Linked DNA regions of Lonchura striata. The main gene of each other region encodes a partner of the protein of the gene in region 2 in a complex. Links are inferred from orthologs where the notes say so. Each region holds a gene or a part of one and is shown on either strand. Other genes may lie near its edges.

What was found. Proteins that work in one complex are often made in the same cells at the same time.
Region 1: the proteins of MYO5A (region 2) and SPIRE2 are in contact, whole or in part, in a crystal structure (PDB 5JCY), measured with the Homo sapiens proteins. The link is inferred for Lonchura striata from reciprocal best matches to the Homo sapiens genes MYO5A and SPIRE2. Residues at the interface, in NP_001369276.1 of Homo sapiens: Asp1551, Val1554, Arg1555, Thr1559, Ile1562, Asn1563, Lys1566, Ser1597, Gly1598, Leu1615, Thr1616, Asn1617, Phe1618, Asp1619, Leu1620, Ala1621, Glu1622, Tyr1623, Val1626, Asp1629, Leu1630, Gln1633; in NP_115827.1 of Homo sapiens: Arg404, Pro405, Arg406, Val407, Leu408, Leu409, Lys410, Ala411, Pro412, Thr413, Leu414, Met417, Glu418, Met420.

What each region holds. Positions count from the first base shown.
Region 1 is NC_134615.1:22,898,278-22,909,035, reverse strand, and holds the start of SPIRE2 (protein spire homolog 2), read right to left. Parts: upstream 4,062-10,758; 5' UTR 4,046-4,061; coding exon 3,832-4,045; intron 869-3,831; coding exon 831-868; intron 655-830; coding exon 295-654; intron 32-294; coding exon 1-31. UniProt on the Homo sapiens protein: Acts as an actin nucleation factor, remains associated with the slow-growing pointed end of the new filament.
Region 2 is NC_134613.1:12,472,015-12,481,830, forward strand, and holds the start of MYO5A (unconventional myosin-Va), read left to right. Parts: upstream 1-5,630; 5' UTR 5,631-5,787; coding exon 5,788-5,814; intron 5,815-9,816. UniProt on the Homo sapiens protein: Processive actin-based motor that can move in large steps approximating the 36-nm pseudo-repeat of the actin filament. Can hydrolyze ATP in the presence of actin, which is essential for its function as a motor protein. Involved in melanosome transport.

The sequences.
Region 1 (10,758 bases), on a different chromosome or scaffold from region 2:
CTTCCTCATCCTCCTTCAGCTTCTGCAGTAGCTGTTGGGACACAAGATGCTGTCACCTTGTCCTGGTGGCACTGAAGGTGCAGCCAGGACTGTGCCATGGGGCTGCAGCACTGAGGTGCACCCCAATTCCTGGTTCCCAGGCAGCACAGCAGTCTGGGAGAGGCTGTACGGCCAAGCACCGGCACCAGCAGCCCTGGTTGGCATGGGCAGAGGGAGCAGTGCAGCCTCCCCCATTCCTTTGTCACTGCAGGTGGTTTCCTCGGCAGGGCCCTGGTGCCAGCAGCCCACGCTCACCTCCTTGGCATCGCGGATCTTGGCGAGGAAGGCCATGAGCTCCACGGTCTCTGCGAAGAGGGCGCGGCACACAGCCTGGTAGTGCGCCGGGGCGCCGGCGGGGTCGGCCAGGCGGGCGGCGCAGCAGCGCATGGCCTGGCCGAAGGTGCGCACCGAGCGAGGCGGCCCCTCGCCCCCCTCCTCCTCCTCATCCTGCCCCCCGTAGCCCTCGTCGGCCGTGGCGCAGCCGCTGTCCTCGGAGTCGCTGTTGGTCATCAGGTCGATGAGCTGCTCCAGGCGCGGGCTCAGCTCCCGCTCCTCGTTCTCGTCCAGCCCCCAGTCCAGCGCCCGGTACACGGCAAAGCCCAGCGACTGCACCATCTGCGGGGGACAGCACCGGCTGGGGCAGCGTGCACCCGGCACCAGCTGGCCCCAGCCCCTCCTTGGTGCTGGTCCCGTCCCAGGACCTGTGACCCCCGGGCGAGGGGGGCAGGTGCTGTGCCCAGCCCACCCCGGGCCGTGATGGCAGATGGGGCAGGTCACCGGCCCCCACGTACCTGGGCTTCGGCCGAGGGCGTCAGCAGCACGGGCAGGTCTGGGGAAGGAGGGGAGAGTCACCCACGGTCCGTGCTGAGTACCCCACCCCGCATCACCCAGGGACGTGGTACCCACCCACTCCGGCCGTGGGGTGCCCACGCTGAGCTGCTCACACCCCCCGCTGCTCCTCCCCCCTTCCCTGGCTCATCTCGTATTTTCCTGGTCCCAGGGCATGGCTCCAAGGCACAGTGGGCACCTGCACGTTGAGCCCTGCTACCAGACAGTGCTGGCACAGCCTCCCAAGGCACCCATGTACCCCTCACTGCGAGGGCTGGAGGGAGCTGAGAGCTCTGCATCCATGGGGAGATGCCCCCCTGTGGGATGTGGGCACTGGCAGTGTGGACACCAGGAGTGTGGGCACCAGCAGCACAGGCACCGGCAGTGTGGGGCCTGGCAGCCACAGCTGGAGCATGGCACACACGGGGAGCCCAGGACACGCTTGTGGGCAGCTTCCCACGGGAGCTGGAGCCCAGGACACGCTTGTGGGCAGCTTCCCACGGGAGCCCTCCTGGCAGCTGCAGGAAAAGGAACACAAATGGCCTCTGCAGTGTCCCCAGGGCTCCCGGCTCTGCTTCCCTCATCATTAGCTCTGCATTGAGCTGATCAATGCGGCAGCCACCAGGATGTGCCAGCCGTGTGCCAGCCATGTGCCAGCCGTGTGCTAGCTTTGTGCAAGCCAGGAATGGACAGGAAAGGCAGCACAAGTGGTGGCCCTGCCATGGTACCACACAGAAGCCCATCAAAAACCATGTCCTGAACTGTGCCCAGCTCCCACTGCAGTACCAGCCCCTGGTGGGTCCCAGCAGCTCTCACCAGTCACTGGGGCGCAGCTGAGGGGGGAATTCCCATAGAATGGGGGACTGGAGCGGTTCCAGAGGGTGCTGCTGGCTCACCCAGCCCAGATCCAGCCCCGTGCCCTGGTAGAGCTGCAAAGCCACGTGCCAGGCTGGTGCCACCACCTGCAGTGTCACCCAGAGGCACCCAGAGCCCTCCCAGCCTCAGGATTCACTGTGAAGGCTTCACTGGTTCATCCCTGGGGAAACAGCTCAGGCTGGCACAGGAGCAACCCGGGAGCAGGAGGCGGCACAGTGGCACTGATAGGTGGCACTGGCAGATGACACCAGCAGGTGACACCGGCAGGTGACACTGGCTCCAGCCCTGCAGTGGCTCAGGACAGGGTGTGGGGCCGTTCCCGTGCAGGACCAGTGGAGCCGGTGTGGCCACGCCGTGCCCAGCCACCATGGGCACGTGCCATGCCTGTGCGTGTCCCTGCCCTGGGCATGGAGCCACCTGATGCACCCGTGTCTGCTCAGCCACTGGCACCAAGGACACACGGTGACCTCGCAGTGTCCCTGCCCAATGTGAGCGAGGCCCCACAGCGACCCCACGACACCAGGTGCCATCCCCGGTGACCTCGCTGTGGGGCGAGACGGGTGGAGGTGCTGGCCATGCTCCAAGTGCTCCTCGTGGCACCCAGCCACCCGGTGGCACCGCTGGCAGCCAGCCTGGTGACACTCTGGAACCGTCACAGCCATACCTGGCAGTGCAAGGCACCTGTGGAAGGACGGCTGGGAGGCCAAAGGTTGGGATGGCGCTGTCCCGTGTGCCACTCCCGGGGCCTGGAGTGGGGCACAAGATCCCCTGCGGTGCAGAGGTGGGTGACGGGCGCCCATGGATGTGCTGTGTGGGTGCCCACGTCCATCTGTCCTTGCTGCGTGTCCTGCAGCCCCACGGTGGTTCCAGGACCACACAAACACCCCCACACCGACTCCAGCCTCCCTGGGTCACCCCGTGCTAGTGACCTGGTTGGTGCCAGTGCGGGTATCAGTGCCACACCAGTGCCAGGCCCCCGGGTCACCAGCCCACCCCCTCCCCCATGCCCCGGGCCACCCCTTGCCCCGATAGATACCGGCAGTGCGGCTGGCACTCCCCTCGCCCGGGCTGGGCATGGGGCTCACCCTCATCCCTGCCGGTGCCACCTTCCTGCTCCCGGTGCTGGCACCGGCCCTTTTCCCTGTCCTCACAGCTTCTCTGATGACCCCCTGCACTGCTCCCCTGCTGCCGGTGCCCCGATGCCTGCCCCACATCTCCGGTGCCACTTCTGCCCGTCTGCCGCTCCGGTACCGGTTCTTCCCCGCCGCTGCCGGTCCTTCCCGCTGGGGCCTCTGCGGGTCCCCCCCCCGCTACCGATCCCCCCGGTCCCTCCGCGTCCCCGACGCCGGTGCAGCACCCCCTGCCGGTGCCGGTAAGTCCCGGTGCCGGTAAGTCCCATGTCCCCGCTCTTTGTGCTGGTAAGTCCCGGCGCCCCGGATCCCGGTGCCGAGAAGTCCCGGTGCCAGTGAGCACCGTAGGCTGCTCGCGGTGCCAGCAAGCACCGGCGCGGGTAAATCCCAGAGCCTCGCTCCTTGCACCGGCAAGCCCCGGTTCCGGTAAGTCCCGATATCCCGGATTCCGGTGTTAGCTAGCCCTGGTGCCGGTAAGCTCTGGTGCCCCCGTACCGGTAAGTCCCATTTCCCCGTTCCTTGCGCTGCTAAGCTCCGGAGCAGGAAAGCCCCGGTGCCGGATCCCAGTGCCGGTAAGCTCCGGTGCCCCGCTCCCGGCGCCTTGCTTTCGGTGCCGGTGAGCCCCGGTGCCCCGCTCCCAGCGTCGGTAAGCTCCGATAAGCCCCCGTGCGTTCCGGTGTTCCGGGGGTCTGTGCCGGTAAGCCCCGCTAAACCTCGGTAAACCCCGGTGCTCCGCTCCCGCGGTGCCGATAATGCCCAGAGCCGGCAAACACTGGTGCCCCGCTCCCGCTGCCTGTAAGCCCCGGTGCCCCGGTGCCAGCCGGTAAGCCCCAGCAAGTCCTGATGCCCGTAAGCCCGGTAAACCCCGGTAAGCCCCGCTTGGCGGTGCCGTCCCGTCCTCCCCCCGCGCGGGCGCCGCCCGCTCCCGCCCCCCCCCCCCGTCGGCGGCGGCCCTCACCGTGCGGCGGGGCGGGCAGGCGGAGGGAGCCGTCGGCGCGGAGGCGGATGTCGGCGGTGCGGAGCGGCGCGGGGGCGACGGGGGCGGCGGCGGCGGCGCGGCAGCCCTGGAAGCAGAGCGCCCAGGCCTGCTCCTCGTTCAGCGGCTGCTCGTAGCACTTCAGCACCTCCTCCAGGGACAGCTCCCGCGGCGGCCCCGCGCCCGCCCGCGCCATCGCCCCATCCCGCACCGCCGAGCGCGGGCGGGGCGCGCCGGGCGGGGGAGACGGGGCGGGGCCGCGCGGGGCCACGCCCCGACAAGCCACGCCCACCCCGGGCCCGTCCGCACCGCTGGGTGTGAGGAGGGGCGGGGCGGTGAGAGAGGCCACGCCCCCCGCCCCGGCACCGGCACCAGCACCGGCATCGGCACCGGCACCGGCACCGACACCGGCCCCACCGCAGGCACCTGCCGAGGCTTGGGACGGCGCAGGATGTACAGGGCCGGGCGGTTCGGGACGGTACGGTACGGTAACGGGAGGGTACGGTGGGGCACGGCGCGGTGAGCTCGGTACAGTCTGTCACGGCACGGTGTGGCGTGGCACGGTATGGCACGGCTCGGTACTGTGGGATATGGCTCGGGACTGTCTGGCACAGCTTGGGGCAGAATGGGATGGGGCAGTAGGGTGTGGCGTGGTACAGTATGGTACGGCTCAGGATGGCACAGCTTGGCATGGCACGACATAGCTCGGCTGTGCATGGCTCAGCAGGGCACGTCAGAGCTCAGCAGCGTGGCTCAGAGCAGCACAGAACAGCTTGGTACCGATGGCATGGCTTGGCATGGCATGGCACGGTACAGCCCAGTGTGGCACGGCACGGCACAGCACAGCACAGCTGCAGAGCTGGGAGCAGGGAGTGGTTACGCTGGGTCAGCTGGGTGCAGAGTGCAGGGTTCAGGGCACACAGCTGGGCACAGGGCACAGGCGTGGATTGCGGGGCGTGCGATGGGGGCAATGCCCAGCATGGGCACGGAGCAGCGCTGGGTGACACCCCCGAGGGACACGAGACACCCCCTGTGCCCCAAGAGGAGCAGGGTGGCCGTGGTCCTGGCTTGGCCCCAGCCCTGGCTCTTGCACCGTTGAGCCCCCATGTCACACGTGGGACAGCATGTGCAGGGACACGATGGCCTTGGCACCAGAGTCACCTGGGGACACAGGAGCAGGAGTCAGGGCAGGAGCAAGGATGCCAGTGCCCATGGGGACTCCTGCCACGAGGAACCTGCCTTGTGGGGTGCTGGGAGAGCCCTGGGGCACTCAGCTGGGATGAGGAGCTGGCACAGGGAAGGAGCCAGGCTGGGACAGGAAAACTTCCTGGAGGGAAGGACAAGAGTTCCAGGTGCCAGAGTGCGGTTTGGGCATGGCCAGGAGCAGCAGGAGCTGGGTGAAGGTGCCAGGATCTGCTGGAGTCTCTAGGCAGACAATATCCCATGGGAATATGGTGTGGGGCTGGCATCCCGCAGCCACTGGGAAAGTCTGACATGAGAGCAGGATCACCTTTGGGTCCCTTCAGACACACGGCAGGATTGTCCTGACAGAGCAGAAAGGACAACCAGTTCATGGGAAAGGTCAGAGGGAGCAAATGAACACTCTTGTCATGATGAGCTTCCCATTTCCATGATGGAAGGAGAATAAAACCCTATCTCAGCTCCATTAACCAATGAGCATAAACAGGGATCAATCCCAGAGCTGTGCTGGCAGGGCTGGGACAGGGACAGAGCTGACACATGGCTGCTGTTCTGTCCCACACGGCCAAAGAGCTGCTCCAGGGCTGGAGATGTCTGTCAAAGAGCCTAGGATGGAGCAGAAAAGCCTTTCAGTGCCAATCCCAGAAAACCTGAACAGTGCCAGCTCCATCTCTGGGGAAGAAACTGGGATATTGGAGCTGGGATACCAGCCCTGCGTGGTGCCCTGGGGTTTGAGAAAGGGGAGAAGGGATACGTGTGATCCAAGGTGTCCGTGCATCTCTGGGAACCTCAAATGCACCGTGGGCGGGTGGGACCGTGCTGCAGGGAGTCAGGAGCACGGTGCCAGCTGCATCTCCAGCCGGATCCGCACGGGATCCTGCCCAGCTGCAGCCCCCGGCGCGGCGCCGATAGCTGGGTCTGGATTGAGAGGTTTGGATGCCCGGTTCACCCCGGAACCAGCCGGGTTGGAGCCTGCTTGGAACCGGGAGCAGGGCCGTGCCGTGCCGTGCCAGCTTTCCAGCGCCTCCGGCCACAGCCGGAGCGGCACCGTCGGGGATGGGAGCGGGAGGACGTGCGGCGTTTGAAGGAAAAGCCACCCTGCAGGATTCACGGCAAGGCATTTGCATGACAAAGCACGGAGCCCTTTGCTTTGGGTAAATCTGTAATTAATACTGAATCGTTGTGTAATTAAAAGCTACCGGCATGGAAAACTCAAACAGAAGCCAAGCCTGTGTGTGGATGAGGGAAATAGAATTAAAGCCAGAAGAAACAGGGGGGAAAGAAAGATGAAGTGTTTGGGAAATGGTGTCAGAGCACTATGGGAGGGTTGGAATCCTGACTCTTGCAGTGTGGAAGCAGGATAAGGTGGGGAGCTGGGATGGAGAGCAGGCAGAGCCCTTCCCCAGCCACCTGCAGCAGGGCTGTGCCACTATTTCCTCGTGGGTAATCCATTCCCGTGGGTCTCAGCTCTCATATGCAAAAATAAATTCCTCCCAAAGCCACAGGAACCTGGGATGAGCGCACAGAGCACCTGTGGGGTGGATGTGCTCTCCTGCTTTCCCTCCATGCTGCAATAAACTGGGAACATGGAAGGAGGGAGCATTTTACTGGGCCATTTTCTGCTGCCGTATGCTGGCCAGAGTTTGAGGGGGGACACTCTGAGAGACAGCCTGGGGACACTTGTGACCCTTGGGGGCATCAGGGGGGGACCTTGGGGACACCATGAGGACCTTAAGGTCACCCCTGGAAACTCCCTGAAGACCTTGAAGGCATTCCAAGGACAATGGGAACACCACTGGGGATGCTGGGAATAAACACTGTGAGTACTCTGGAATGCCGAGCTCACAGTTGGATGCCTGCTGGGCCCAGTCGTGATGGGGGATCCCAAAAGCTGGGGCTGCCCAGACCCCCCAGAATCTGGGGCTGACACAAAGGTGCAGATGGCACTGGGGGTTAAGGCGACTCGGGAATGTGACTCTGGCCAGGGTTCCCAGACTCGGTGGGATCCCGTGGCACTGTCCATGCTGGATCTGTGCTGGATCTGGATCTTCTCCTGGCTCCTGGCAGCATGTGCTGCTGACTCACACCAGCACTGCAATAAACCATCCACGGCCAACCCCAGCAGGAGCTGCTTCCTGGCGCTGGACACACCCCGAGGACTTCATCTTTCCATAGGGAATTGCCCCTGCTGCTCCCATCCATGGTGGTCGACAGCAGCGGTTCATCATCAGGAAGGATCGGATCCGAGGGAAAAATTCCTCTGTGAATTCTGCTCTGCTCCTGGTGAAACTTTGTGGCCATTCAGGACCTAAAGAGATCTGAGGAAAAAGAGGGAGAGGGCTTTTGGACAAGGGGTGGAGTGCCAGGGCAAGGGGAATGGCTTTGCACTGCCAGAGGGCAGGGTGAGATGGGATATTGGGAAGGAATTCCTGGCTGTGAGGGAGGTGAGGCCCTGGCACAGGGTGCCCAGAGCAGCTGTGGCTGCCCCTGGATCCCTGGAAGTTGGACAAGGCTTGGAGCAGCCTGGGACAGTGGGAGATATCCCTGCCATGGCAAGGGGTGAAACGAGATGAGCTTTAAGGTCCCTTGCAGCACAAACCATTCCCTTCCAATCCAAACCATTCCACAATTCCATTATTTATTCTCCCAGCAATGCTGGTGATTCTTCCCTTTGGGAATTCCAGCCACTCTTGTCCCCTTCCCTGGGTGGGATCAGGGTCAGCAGCTCAGACCTGAGAGGATCGGAGCTCCCCGTGTCCCACACACTCCGAGCTCACACCCCACACCCACAGCGGGTCCTGTTGCCGTGTCCCTCACACCGCACAGCCACAGCGGGTCTCCTCTCCGTGTCCCTCACACCGCACAGCCACAGCGGGTCCCCTCGCCGTGCCCGACCCCCCGTGTCTCCCCACGCCCTCCTCGTCCCCTCCCGCCGCCCTTCCCAACATGGCAGCGCCGCCTCAGCCACCACAGAGAGGGTGGCGGGGGCGGGACTACGCAGCGCTTCCAACCAATGGGCAGAGGCGGCGGGGTGGGCGCGGGCGGCCTCTGCTCCCTTCCAGCCAATGGGATCGGTGGGTTCGGCCGGCGGGAGCCAATGGCGGCGCGGGCTCTCGCGGCGGGAAGCGGCGGGCCGCGATGGCGGGCGCGGGCGGGAGGAGCTGGCGGGACCTGCTCGGTACGTGAGGGCTGAGGCGGGCCCGGGGCGAGCTCCGCGCCGGGCGCTCCCTGCGGGGACAGCGGAGGGGACAGGGGAGCGTGAATGTCCGCCCTCTGCCTTCCTGCACCCCTTCTCTCTATCTGCACACAGCCCTCCCTCTGCCCCCATGTCCCGTTCCATGCACCCCGCTCTGCCTTCCTCAGAGCCGCCGTGTCCCGGTACTCAACATCTGCCCTTGTACATCCCTCTCTGCTTTCCTCAGAGCCCTCGTGTCCCGGTACTCAACATCTGCCCTTGTACATCCCTCTCTGCTTTCCTCAAAGCCGCCGTGTCCCGGTACTCAACATCTGCACTTGTACACCCCCGGTACACAACATCTGCCTTTGTACCCTCCGCTCTGCTTTCCTCAGAGCCGCCGTGTCCCCATACACCCCCTCTCCCTGCCCTCATGTCTCCCGTATGTTTTCCTCACACCCCGCTCTGCCTTCATCCTCAGCAGCAGGAGCGGGAGGTGGTTTCGGGCTGTCTTGGGAACTCACTGCTCAATAAACCCAAACTTCTCAGCAGGGAGAACCAGGAAGAGGAAAAGCCCCTTTGGGAGCACAGCAGAGCTCCAGGGAGCGGCTCTGCGGCTGCTGGATCAGCACCAGAACCTGGCTGACCTCCTCCTGGAGGTAGGAATGGGACAGGGATGTTCCAGGGTGTCGTGGGCTGGCTGGGCAGCGGGAGAGCCCAGCTGGAGGTGGGTGCCACTGGCTGTGGAGTCAAGGTCCCAGGAACACAGTGTTCCATGGTACGTGGAGAGAAAAACCAACAGTGTAGGAGGAAGATGAAGCTGAAAGCTCCGTTTTGCAGAAATGGGATTGTTACCCCTTTTCCATCAATGTTGTACGGACTAAAAATGGTTAAGCATGGTTTGGGACAAAGGGAAATCCAGCACATTTTCCTTCAGATCAGAGCTGTCTTCTTGTGAATCTAGGGAAGACAATTCAGAAGGGACTTGGCTTTTCCCTGAATTACCAACCACACCTGGCTGCCCTGGCTGTCCTCATGACAGCCTTATCTTCTCATTCAGCTGCCTTCTCCCTCTCCTCACACACTGATTTTACAGTTACAACACATAATGAAAATATCTCCTGTAGTTCAGGATCTGGATTTCTCTAGAGAATATTTCCCGTTATAAAAAGAAAAAGGGGATTTAACTAGAAAATCAGCCAACATTTGGACAAGTTTCATCAAATATTTATGGCCACATGGCTTCACAGAAAGGACTTGAAAGGTAAGGATTATAAAAATTCTGCTCCTGGTGCTGCTGCTGAGCTGTTTGGTCCCTGGGGATGAGGAACTTTGACCTGTATCTCCTTTTTTATGCATAAACTGACAATAACTAAACACACACCTCTTGTAAGGTGAAATCTGTGCTTTTCCACTCCCACGTGGGAGCTTCGTGTAAATTTGTTGTCAGTTGCTCCAGCAGTGCAGGGATAGGTTTATGTATAGGGATAGGTGACAGACATCTAAGAGTTCTAAGGTTTTATTTGGTTTCCAGGTGGGAGATCCAACCAAGCCAGGTGTGCAGGATGGGGCAGAGCACCAGGGAGTGTCACCAGAATCTTTTATAGGTGAGCATCTACCAGACCAGATGTGGGGAAGAGCCCTTCCTCAATACTGAATTTCTGTCTTTATGGGCATCCGCAGTTTTACTTGCTTTTCATTGTTCTGCTCTTGTTTCTTACTTGCCTGGTGATGACAACCTTCTGCTTTGCTGTTTAGTCTCTGTTCTGCAGGAACAGGCCTCCAAACTGGGTGTGCCCACAGCGACCTTGGCAGCCAAAAATGCCGTTGCCAACGTGGAGCGGATCTGCCAGGATTCTGCCAGCCCCTCAAGAGTCCCACTGCTGAACTCTGACCAGAGAGTAAGGGGAAAGCTTTATCTTTAATTTGTCAACAAAACAGCACTGTTAGGTTTCACTTTAAGCCCAGTTTATCTGCTCTGATTAAACCCCAAACATGAGCGGAAAATTATTCACTGAGGTGTTCAATTTGCTTGCAGAAGTACAAGATACATAAGAAGTTTAGGCCTTTCCCCTAAATTCTCTCCATCATTTGAACCTTTAAAAAGCAGCAAACAGGGCAAAGCAACAAATTGCTTTTCTGAGAGCATATTCACAAAGAGAAATATTTCTGCTTCGTTTCCGGGGTGATGCCAGAGGAGGCTGACCTGCTTGCTTCAGACTGTGAAGGATTTGCTGGCAAACAACATGTTCTGTCGCTCCCTCTTCTGCCAGGAAATGTGGAAAATGAAGGTGAGAACTGATGGAGAAACACTGTGGTGTGGTGTGGTGTTGACCATGAGGATTCATCTCTGAATTCCTAAGAATGACTGGTTTTCCTGACCTTCCAAAAGCATGAGCTGAATTACAGATGGTGGGACTTTTTGGTTGCTCTGTTTGTTTTAGAGCAAATTTAGTGGGAACTTCCTTGTCTCTGCAGTGGGATTTGCTTTTTCAACCCAGTTGAGGTTTGGAATTATTTGAATTATTGGAAAC
Region 2 (9,816 bases):
CTTTTGTTATTTCATCTTAATTACAGCATATTTGTATTTAATATAACCTCCAGTTGTGTTGGGTTTTTCTTCCGTGTTTGAGTTTGTTGTCTAAAATAGAGGTTTAGACCACAAGTTGCTAGATGGTAAAGCATGTATAAAAACAAAGACAGGGCTCTGATTGAATTTTGTTTCTGCTTTTGAACTTGAACGGCCTTAAACCTGTTTCAGCTTTAACAATAGAGTTTTTACTTGGGCAATATTTGCCCATTCTGGTGTAACTCTTGTGAACCTAGTGCTTATTGACAACTGCCTGTTGAAGCTGGTATTCTTTTCAGTTCCGTAGCTTAGGACACACTTTTGTTGAAGATGTGGATGAAGTGTGCATGTGCATAGACTGTTGAATTCACTCTTGTGCCATTTTTTGTAAATACAATAGTTTTGCACAACCTTTTGCAGACGTCTATTAGTTTTATGTTTTAAAAAGCAGATAATGTGCCAATCAAAGCACAAGTGATTCTGTATCTTTCAAAGTCTTGTCCTGAAACTGAGAGCCCAGAATCTCGCTACTGAAAATAAAAATAGTATACCTGAAATTTGTGAAACACATTTACACCTGACTCAACCTTATGCTTTTGCAGTTGTATATTTTGTTTCACAACAAAATCCAGCATTCAAGTATAAATTTGGAATTTGTACTTATATTTGCAGGCAAGTGCCCTTTCTGTTCAGCAGTTGTTTAAGCTTTTAAAGTAGAAATGCTCTGTCTGTTGGCATGGAATATGACTAAGTGTACAGTTCTGGAGAGTTCCCTGCGTGGCAAACACCAAATTTGGGCTCACCAATGCTTGATGCGCAATTGGCTATGGGCTATTTTAGATTTCTGGAAGCAGAAGGGTATCTTTTTTATTTTCTTGAACTCCTGAAGAGGCAGTAAATTATTTCCTTTTCTCTGTTGTACAGCAGCCCCTCATTGGCTTTGTGGAAATAAATATCTGGAAAGGTATTTCTGTAATGACTTACTGAGAAATAGGTAACTTTTCATATCAGAAAATAGGATTGAACTCCAGTTCATGCTTATGATGAAGGTTGTAAGTACTAGATAGACAAAATACATAGTTGGTATTAGGTGAACTGATGTACTTAAAACATCTGAGTTCAATGAAATCAGAATATTGAAAGTGGAATATGATCCACAATGTAATTGATTTTCATATAGGTAGTCACAGCCTTCACAGTCTTTGGGAGAACAAGAAACTAAAAAGATCAGTTTACAGAACACTTTTTCTTTAAAAAATAGTTTGGAAACAGCCTGTTAGCACCAATGTGAGTATCACAAGAGAAAACACTTAAAGATGCATGTTTTTAGAAGCTTGTACTTTGTGCTGAGATATTCAGAAAGGTCTTGGGGTATAAAGGACTGCTAGTCAATACCAGTGCTGGCCCATATCTTCTGCAATGCTCTCTTTGAGAAGCAAACAAAATGGTCAAGAGAAATTGAATAGTCTTTATTTGGTCCTGTTTTGATCAGAACATACAGTGTCTACGTAATGTTTTTGATTCAGAGAAGCAGTTCCAGAGAATTTCAAAATTGCTGACCTGATTATTTTCAAGTCTGTATAGCCCTGTTTTAGTAGTTAGATAGGCTTTGTCAAGCCTGTCCTTATTTCTTACCCTCCACTAGTATTAAAAATACTAGTATTTTGCAGAACAGTTTGAAGAAATGGACCTACTCGACTTCTTTAAAAACTTAGGCTGGAAGAATAACAAGGAAACTGGAAATATTGAAGCAAGCTGCTTTTCATAAATGTTTGTTCTAATGTGAAAAATCCTTCTTTATTTTTCTATGTATAGATGAAATTAAAACTTAATGATAGGATTGGGCCTGAAACAAATGTTGAACAGCTTAAGGTGACTTGCTGTGTATTGTCTGGTGCCACTATTCTGTAGCTCCCCTAAGGTGAGTTCTCTTGATGTTTGGGAAGGTTTAAAAAGATAGCCATTTAAATTTAAACATTCCACTCACTTAGCTACAACTCAGCTTGTCCTGCTGGTTGGACAACACAAGCTCTTCCAATGCTCACTCAGTGACTTGCAGTTCCTAAGATTACTACAGATTCAGCTATGAATATATTCTCCATGTGTATATTTGAAGTACTGTAATACTAACTATGTCAGTGACTGATTATGAGCCTTCACATCTGACAGACCTCAGCAGCAGGCACAGCTATTTTGATTCTGTACACTGTATAAAACTGAAGTCCAGTAGTCACTTAACAGTAAATGGAACATGACTGCAGATTGATGCTTACTTTCAGCTTACTCCAGCAAGATAACTCAGCTATCCAAACTGATGTACATAATGTATTATATGAGTTTTACCATTTGATAATTGCCTTTTTCAAAGAAAACCTGTCCACACTGTAGACTGGCAGTCCCTTTCATATCTTGCCTTTAAAGATAGACAGTGTTTAGTTGTTAGAGTAGTACTCATGTAGGCTTGTTATAGCAGATAGCACCAACATTTTATTTGAGATAGTTAAGTGGATTAATTACAACTTCACAGATATGTCCCCAAATCTGTAACACCAAAGGCTTCCCTCTCATTGTTCTTGATGTAGTAGGACAGTGTTTGTGTAAAGGCCACAGGAGTACATTTTGTTGGACATATTTACACCCAGTCAAGATGTTAAGGTGATAAAAGTGTCAATTGTTCTTTACAAACTTACACGTTGTATAGTATACAGAATAAATCGATTTACTTAGTTTTTATTGCACCATGGAGGTTTGTCTCATCTTTACTGTGGTTTCCTAAACAATACAGGATACTTCGGTATTCTCTGTGGAAAATTTCTAAACTCTAAATCTTGCTACTCTGTATCATTAAAAATATGACTGGGCTTTGGTTTCTAGTATGTTAGACTGCAGAATTACTTTAATGTAATCACATTTATATATATTTCAGTGCTTATTTTTCTATTAAGGCAATTAAAGCTTATTGTTTGAAAACTCCGTAACAGATGATTGTTTGGGTCCCTTGCACTGAATGAAGGGGATGTCTGGGAACCAGCTTGGTGCAAAGAAGTTTGCATTGCTTTAGACTGTTGGCCTAAATATGGCAACAATTCGAAAAACCACAATGCTGGAAAAAAGTCCCACTACTTTCCCAGTCAGCCCGAGGCTTGGTGCTGATCTGTGCACAGCTTCCAGATCCATGGGGTGTTATTTACACAGTTAGCTCAGTCCCCAAGGTTATGCAGCACCCTCTGTGCTCTGCATACTTGCATGCTACATGATTGTCTCTCTTCCTACATATCTCTTGTATTACATTTCAGAGTTCTTAACTGTTCCCTCAGTACTGGCTGGAACCAGACCTGTTTGTTTCCTACAGCTGAAATCCCCAGGCCTGGGCCTTGAGGTGTGAGAATATGGCCTTGGCAGAGAACTCTCTGCTCACTCATTGTACAGTGTGACAGCAGAATAGGAGGTCCTGTGTGAGAAGGGAATTTATCTGCCAGAGTTGAACAGGTCACAGATATGAACGGAACACAGATGTAAGAAAAAGGATAGGACAAATGCTTCTTAACTGCTGAAAAAAAATTGCATAAAAATTCAGTATAAAATTGTATGGGGGGACTGTGTCAGTTCCATCATTTATACATTGTTATCTGGAACACCTTGGGATCTATGCTCTGAAAAAAAAATGCCATCTTTTCAAAAAGATGTTGTGTGCAAGGTAAGAGGTGAGGTCTTTCAAAATCTTGCCAGCAAATATTTGATGCAAGAGATGCATCTTAAAGTAGTCGGTCTGGATACATTACAAACAGGTTGTTTCTTGGCAACTTTCAATGCCCTCAATTCCTGTCCTTAATGGCAGATTTGAAATCCTGGTTTATGCAAATTGTGTCAAATCATAGCATATTTTGGACTCATATCTATTTTTTGCTGTGGCTCATAATTACATTTGGCTCATGAGCTCCAGCTGTGAGTGACTGAGATCAGTAATCCACAGTCCAAGCAAACTCCTGAAATGAGTGTCTTAGAATTTAAGAATTTAGCATAAATATTGTGAGGAAAGGGTTCAAAAAATCCGATGTGAAGCATCACACCAAGAGGAGGTCCAGGTCCTTTCTGAAAACAAAACTGAAATTTCTGTTTGCAGTTCCAGCGTTGCACCTGAAAGATGACTGGCAGCTTTAGTACAGATCTCTCTGGTTTGCCTTGGCAGATGGATGAAGAGCAGCTGTGAAAACTGCTTAGCCAAAACCTCACCCCTGATCTGGACAGCAGCTCCCAGGAGCCCATTCTGGGCTTTTAGTAACACTGAGAGTGACTGTCCAGTTCTGCTGGAGTGAGCATCCTGGTTTGGGACAGCAACAGCAGTCATGGCTGATGAGCCTGGACGTTCTGACAGAACCTGGGAAGGAATATATTTTTAAATTCTGTTCACATTATTTTGAACTCTCCCAGCAAAATCAGGTGTTTCTACAAATCTCTATATGCTAACCTTAGTTTCCTAGCTGTGAAGGCCATACGTCTGCACCTAATCCAAACAATTTTGGGTAAGCTACGTTATTTTCATCTTGGCTATTTTCTGTTTGTGCTTGCTGCTTTCTCCATCTCCTTTTTAGATAGCAGCAGTAAAGTCCAGATAAGCATTTATTGGGAGTGTTTGTTTTGGGAGTCAGGGTAGTGTTTTCTCTCTGTTACTAAATTGATGAGTGATTTCTGACCCATTGCTTTCATGGTTCAGTTTCTCTGTAAACAGGTTTGTCTGTTTCTTTGGTAGTTGCGGGTTTCAGGGGCAGTGCAGATACTGCCCACTGAATACACAGCTGTTAGCTAAACAGCTGAATTCTGAGAGAGGATAGATAGTCAAAAGCAGTTTGGTGGAGAGTGTGGCAAACTTGCCTATGTTAAACTTGGTTTGTATTTTGGACTAGGAGTAGTAGGATGCATTTCCAAGGTGGAAAACAAAAACAGAGAAAGAGAGAATAGCTTCAGTTTTGCTGTCAAAAGAACTCTTGACATAACCTGAGCTGTACAAAACAGTCATAAACAAATCATAAAGGAGTCGGTTGTCATCTTGAGACCTTGCTGAAGCACGGACTATGCTTTTCATTCCCCTTTGTCATGGATGTTAAACTTCTCAACGATGTGTACCTCCATGTCTTGGTGAGAATGGGCTTAATTACGGAAGGAACTGGTTTGGGCCCATTTCCTTTCAGTGCCTTCAGTAACGGTTTGAATGACAAATACAATCAAGCTGTAAATAATTTGAAGGATGGGATTAGAATCGGTGCCCGTGAAAAGACGGGACTGGAGGGTTCCCTGCGCCTGGTGGTGCCCGCGGTGCGGAGCCTCCTCCGCGCCTCGAGCAGGGCACGGGCTGGGGACCAGAGAAGATCAGAACTATCCCTGATGACATAACGAGTAATTTGTTCAGTGTAGGAGAGAAAGAATAAAATGAATAATAATTTTAAAAAAGGATGGTAAGGGAGAGGAGGAATACCGGTTCTGGCATAGCGCGGGGGGCGCGCAGCCCACTGACGGCTCGCGCAGGGGTCCGGGAGCGGTCCCGCCCGCCGGTGGGAGGCAGCGCGCCGCCCGCCCGGCCCGGCCCGGCCCGGCCCGGCCCCGCCGCCGCTCCCACAATGCACAGAGCCCGCCAGGTAGCAGCAACATGGCGCGGGCCGCCGCCTGAGCATCCTCCTCCTCCTCCTCTCCTCCTCCTCCTCCACCCCCCGCCCGCCTCCGCCTCCCGCCGCCGGGCTGCCGCAGAGGGGCCGCCCGCCCGCGCCCTGCGCCATGGCAGCCTCCGAGCTCTACACGAAGGTAGGGCGGCGGCGGGGCCGGGCTGCGCGGGGCGGTGGGGCCGCGGGGCGGGCCGGGCGGGGGCCGGCGGGGCAGCGGGGGCTCGGCCGGGGCAGCGGGGGCTCTGTTCCGTGGGAGCAGCGGGAGCGCGGGCGCCGCTGCCCCGGCGGGGCCGCATCCCGGCGGGCGCGGGGCCGCTCCCGCCGCCGGCGAGCCCGGTGCCGGCGGCCCGGGCCCGCGGGAGCCGCCGCGCCGCCCCTCCCGCCCGGCTCCGCGCTCCGCGCTCCGGCGGCGCGGCCGGGATGCGCCGCGGCCGGGGCAGCGCGGTGCGGCGGCGCGGTTATCGCCTTCGGGCGCGCCGTCCCGCTCCTTGAGGAAAAACGGCTCCGAGGACATGAGCGCTCTGATATTCAGCTGCGCTTTTCGGTGACACTGCACCTTTGGATTATGTTCTTCTGGCAGTCGTTCAGAAGCCCTGCAGTCAGCAGCGATGCGCAGCGTGACTCTCATATGCTCTTTAATCAGACATTTTTCTAATCTTTTTAGTCTTGTGTGTTAGTATCTCATCAGCTTCTGCCTGGAAACAGTTACCGTCCTGTGCATCTTGATGGCAAAGCCTGCAACTTGAGATGTGGAAATGGTTATTTTCACTCCTAGCAATGCATTGTTTTCGTTGCTCCGCCTTGACCTGGTGCATAAATCTGAAAAAAAATGACAGAAAACAGGTCTTAAAGGGCAGAAGGGATGACAGAGGCCACTGGAATTGAGCAGGGCAGCACAACATGGCAAACTCCAAATACTACTTTCAAAAGGCTTGCACAGGCAAAGAGTGTTGGTAGGAAAGCCATGCCATCTGGATCCTTGAGCCACTTAGTTAAATGCTCCAGAATTATCCCCAGTCTAGCACTCTGCAAGGAAGGAAAGGAAACAGACTTTTTGTTTGGACATGGATAGGTCACCTTATTTGTAGAGCCCTCCCACTCAGGAGTGGTGGGACAGCAGTGACTGCATCAGGGCAAATCAAACCAGACAGTCCCTTCAACAGGGACTGCTTGCTCTGAGAGTGTATTTGTGTAGGAGAAATTGAATGTGAGAGGTGAGGTGCATGCCTGAACCCCCAAAAGATTAATTAAATACATGAATGATATGGCACACCTTGGTGTTTTGTATTTCATACAAGAATACCTCTTTGAACTATCCCAAAGGGATAAAATTTACCATTCTGGTCAAGAGAGTGGTGGTACTGCAGAGCTGTTTTCAGGCACCCCACAGACCTTCTCTGTGTAAGGAGTTATTTTAGAAATGTGGTTTTGATTCTTCCTCTCTGATGACGTTCTTCTTATGGAATTAAAATGTCTCATAAAGTGTGGATCAGACTACTTGCTTTTTTCCTTTTTTTTTTTTTTTTTTTTTTTTAATTCCCAACTTTATCTGACCTTGAATACTTTTCACTGAGTGGTTGATTCCTTTGGTCAGAAGCTGCTCCAAAAATGTGGGTGTGCTGTTGTCTTTGAACTGTGTTACAGCAGAAAACTCAAGGCCCCTTATAATTCCTGAGGAGGGCCTGGCTCAGAGTTGGGCAGGCCAGGGTAGGAAACCTGCTGGGTGCTCAAGGGAGACTCTGCTGGCTCTTTCCTCAAGTAATGGCAGCATGCTGCTTGAATAGCATTCACTAGATCATCCTTGATTAGGTAACGTAAATAATGGATTTAAGGTCAAACATGCTGAGGTAAAAAGAGCAAACGCAAAGTCAGACAAGTGCAGGGATGATCCTGCAGGAAGGACTGGCTGGGTGATGAAGGCCGGTGAGATTGTGTCTGTGCTTCTCTCACACCACAGGCTGTTCTTGTCCTCTTTAGAGACACATGTAGGCACAGAAAGAGTGAGTTTCACATCTTTTTTAACTGGTAAGCAGAGATTGTCATTCAGGGCAGCTGCTTAAAGTACCAGAGCTTCCAGTGTAGTGTCAGCTCTTAGCATATGGTGTTGGCATAGATACTTTGCTGGCAAGCAGGGTTGGGGATGAATTTTCAGCACATTGTTGCTGCTGTGTGCCCTGGAGCAAAGGCAGCTCTCCTACCCTCTCCCACTGGATGCCCCCATCCCAGCTTGCCTGTGTTTTTCAGGTGGCTGTGGTGGTGTGAGTGACTTGCAGCGAGGGTTGGTGAAGTTCTGTTAAAGACTGGATGAGCAGTGTTGCAAAGAAGTTGTTGGCATTTCTTCAGATGCTGTCTGAGATTGGCAGGACAGACTTCTTTCCAGCTGGGGGTGGTGGAAGTGGGGCTCTGCTGTATGCTCCAGTGTGTCCAGTTTGCTCGTAGGTTATCCCTTCAATATTGTAAACGCAGGCGAACCCAATGGGAAGAAATGATGATGTCTGACTCAATTCAGAAGGCTGAATTATTTCTTTATTATAACTATGCTAAAATAAATTAATATACTATATAAAAGGAGGATACTAAAACTACATACTACTTTCTCTGACTCTAACTCCCCCACAACTCGTGACCCTCTCTGAGAGTCCAGCCCCAGGTGGGTTGGATTGACCATCAGGCTCAAACAATCCTCACCAGAATCCAACTAAGCACTCACTCCAGGTAAACAATTCTCCAAACATATTTCACATAGGAAAAACAAGAAGCAGAAATAGAAATTGTTTTCTCCATTTCTCTCTGTGTACCTCTATGAAAAATCCTGAGAGGGAGAGAAATGTGCTTGCCACACTTCAAATTTGGGTTCTTTGCATATCAACATAAAGCTAGCATCCACTATCCCAACCATATATTGAAATAGCTGAAAGGAACTCTATTTTTCCAAGGTAATTTTTTTGTTAGAAACCAGCAATACAGACTTTTTTAAGAAGTCATGCCACTCCTGTGAAAACCCTATTGTTTTGATTCATCCAGATGTATTTCTAAATTTGGTGGCTATATAGCCAGCCTTGGAGTTGGACATGGTTGTAGTTAATCTAGAAAAATGGATTTAAGTTAAAGGACTCAAGTGCACTCACAAACTAGTTGAGAGCAGTGGGCCCAAACCATGAGGCTTTGTATTCCTGTGCCCAGTGACTCTGCAAATTCAGACTCTGCTTGGGGGCATTAGCTTTAATTTTGGGGTGAAGCAGCTTAAATCAGTTCCACGTCTCGAGCATTCTTACTAGAAACGTTATGCTTTTGAGCCTTGTCTGGTTGGATATATACCTCTAGCAGGTCTAGGTGGTCTTGTTGTACATTTATTTCTGAAAGTTTTGGATCTTTGACTTTGCAAACAGACTTAGGAGAGCCTTGGTGTGGTTCTTGGGTCGTTGTAGCCCCACTGAGCGATGCTTGGGTGTCACTGATCCATTTCAGCATTTCAGTAGCTGGTGGCCAACAACAGATATATACCTACTTCTGCTGACCCATAAAAATTGATAGAGACAATCTAGGCCATGTACTGGCCTTTGTTAAATGTAATTTGATTTCTGTGGAGATTAAGAACAAGGGAGAATGCTCTGCCTAGAATTGGAACTCATCTGACTACTCTGCTGAAACTGCCATACTTGGTGTTTCAAGTCACCTCTGTGAGTTTCAGGGGAGTGAAACCAAGCCCCATCACATGCTCTTCTTGCCTGTACACAAAAATCAACAAAACTGATCAGACACTGTGTTTATGCTGCCTCTTTTATAATCAGGGTGAAGAGGCGACAATTTTATTCTTTGTTTCCATCTATTTTCCCCTGAGTTTGAGTTGTTTCTCTTTCATGCTGTGTTTTCCTAGAGCATGCTGCTTTGCTCTCTCGAGATTTGTTTCCCTTTTGCATGGCTGTGTACAGTGCACTGATTTATTTACTTATCCATTCAGACATTCATTTATTTTCATTTTTGCTGCTACCAGTGGGCTCCTCCCTTTCCATTATCTTTGAGATGAGGGGGAGCTAGCTCCAGCTAGCTTGGTCCTGATTAGGGCCTAATCCAATTTCAGTTTTAGTGAGTGGAAATGTTCCTTTGCACACAGAGGAATCAGTAAACAGTTTTCACTGGA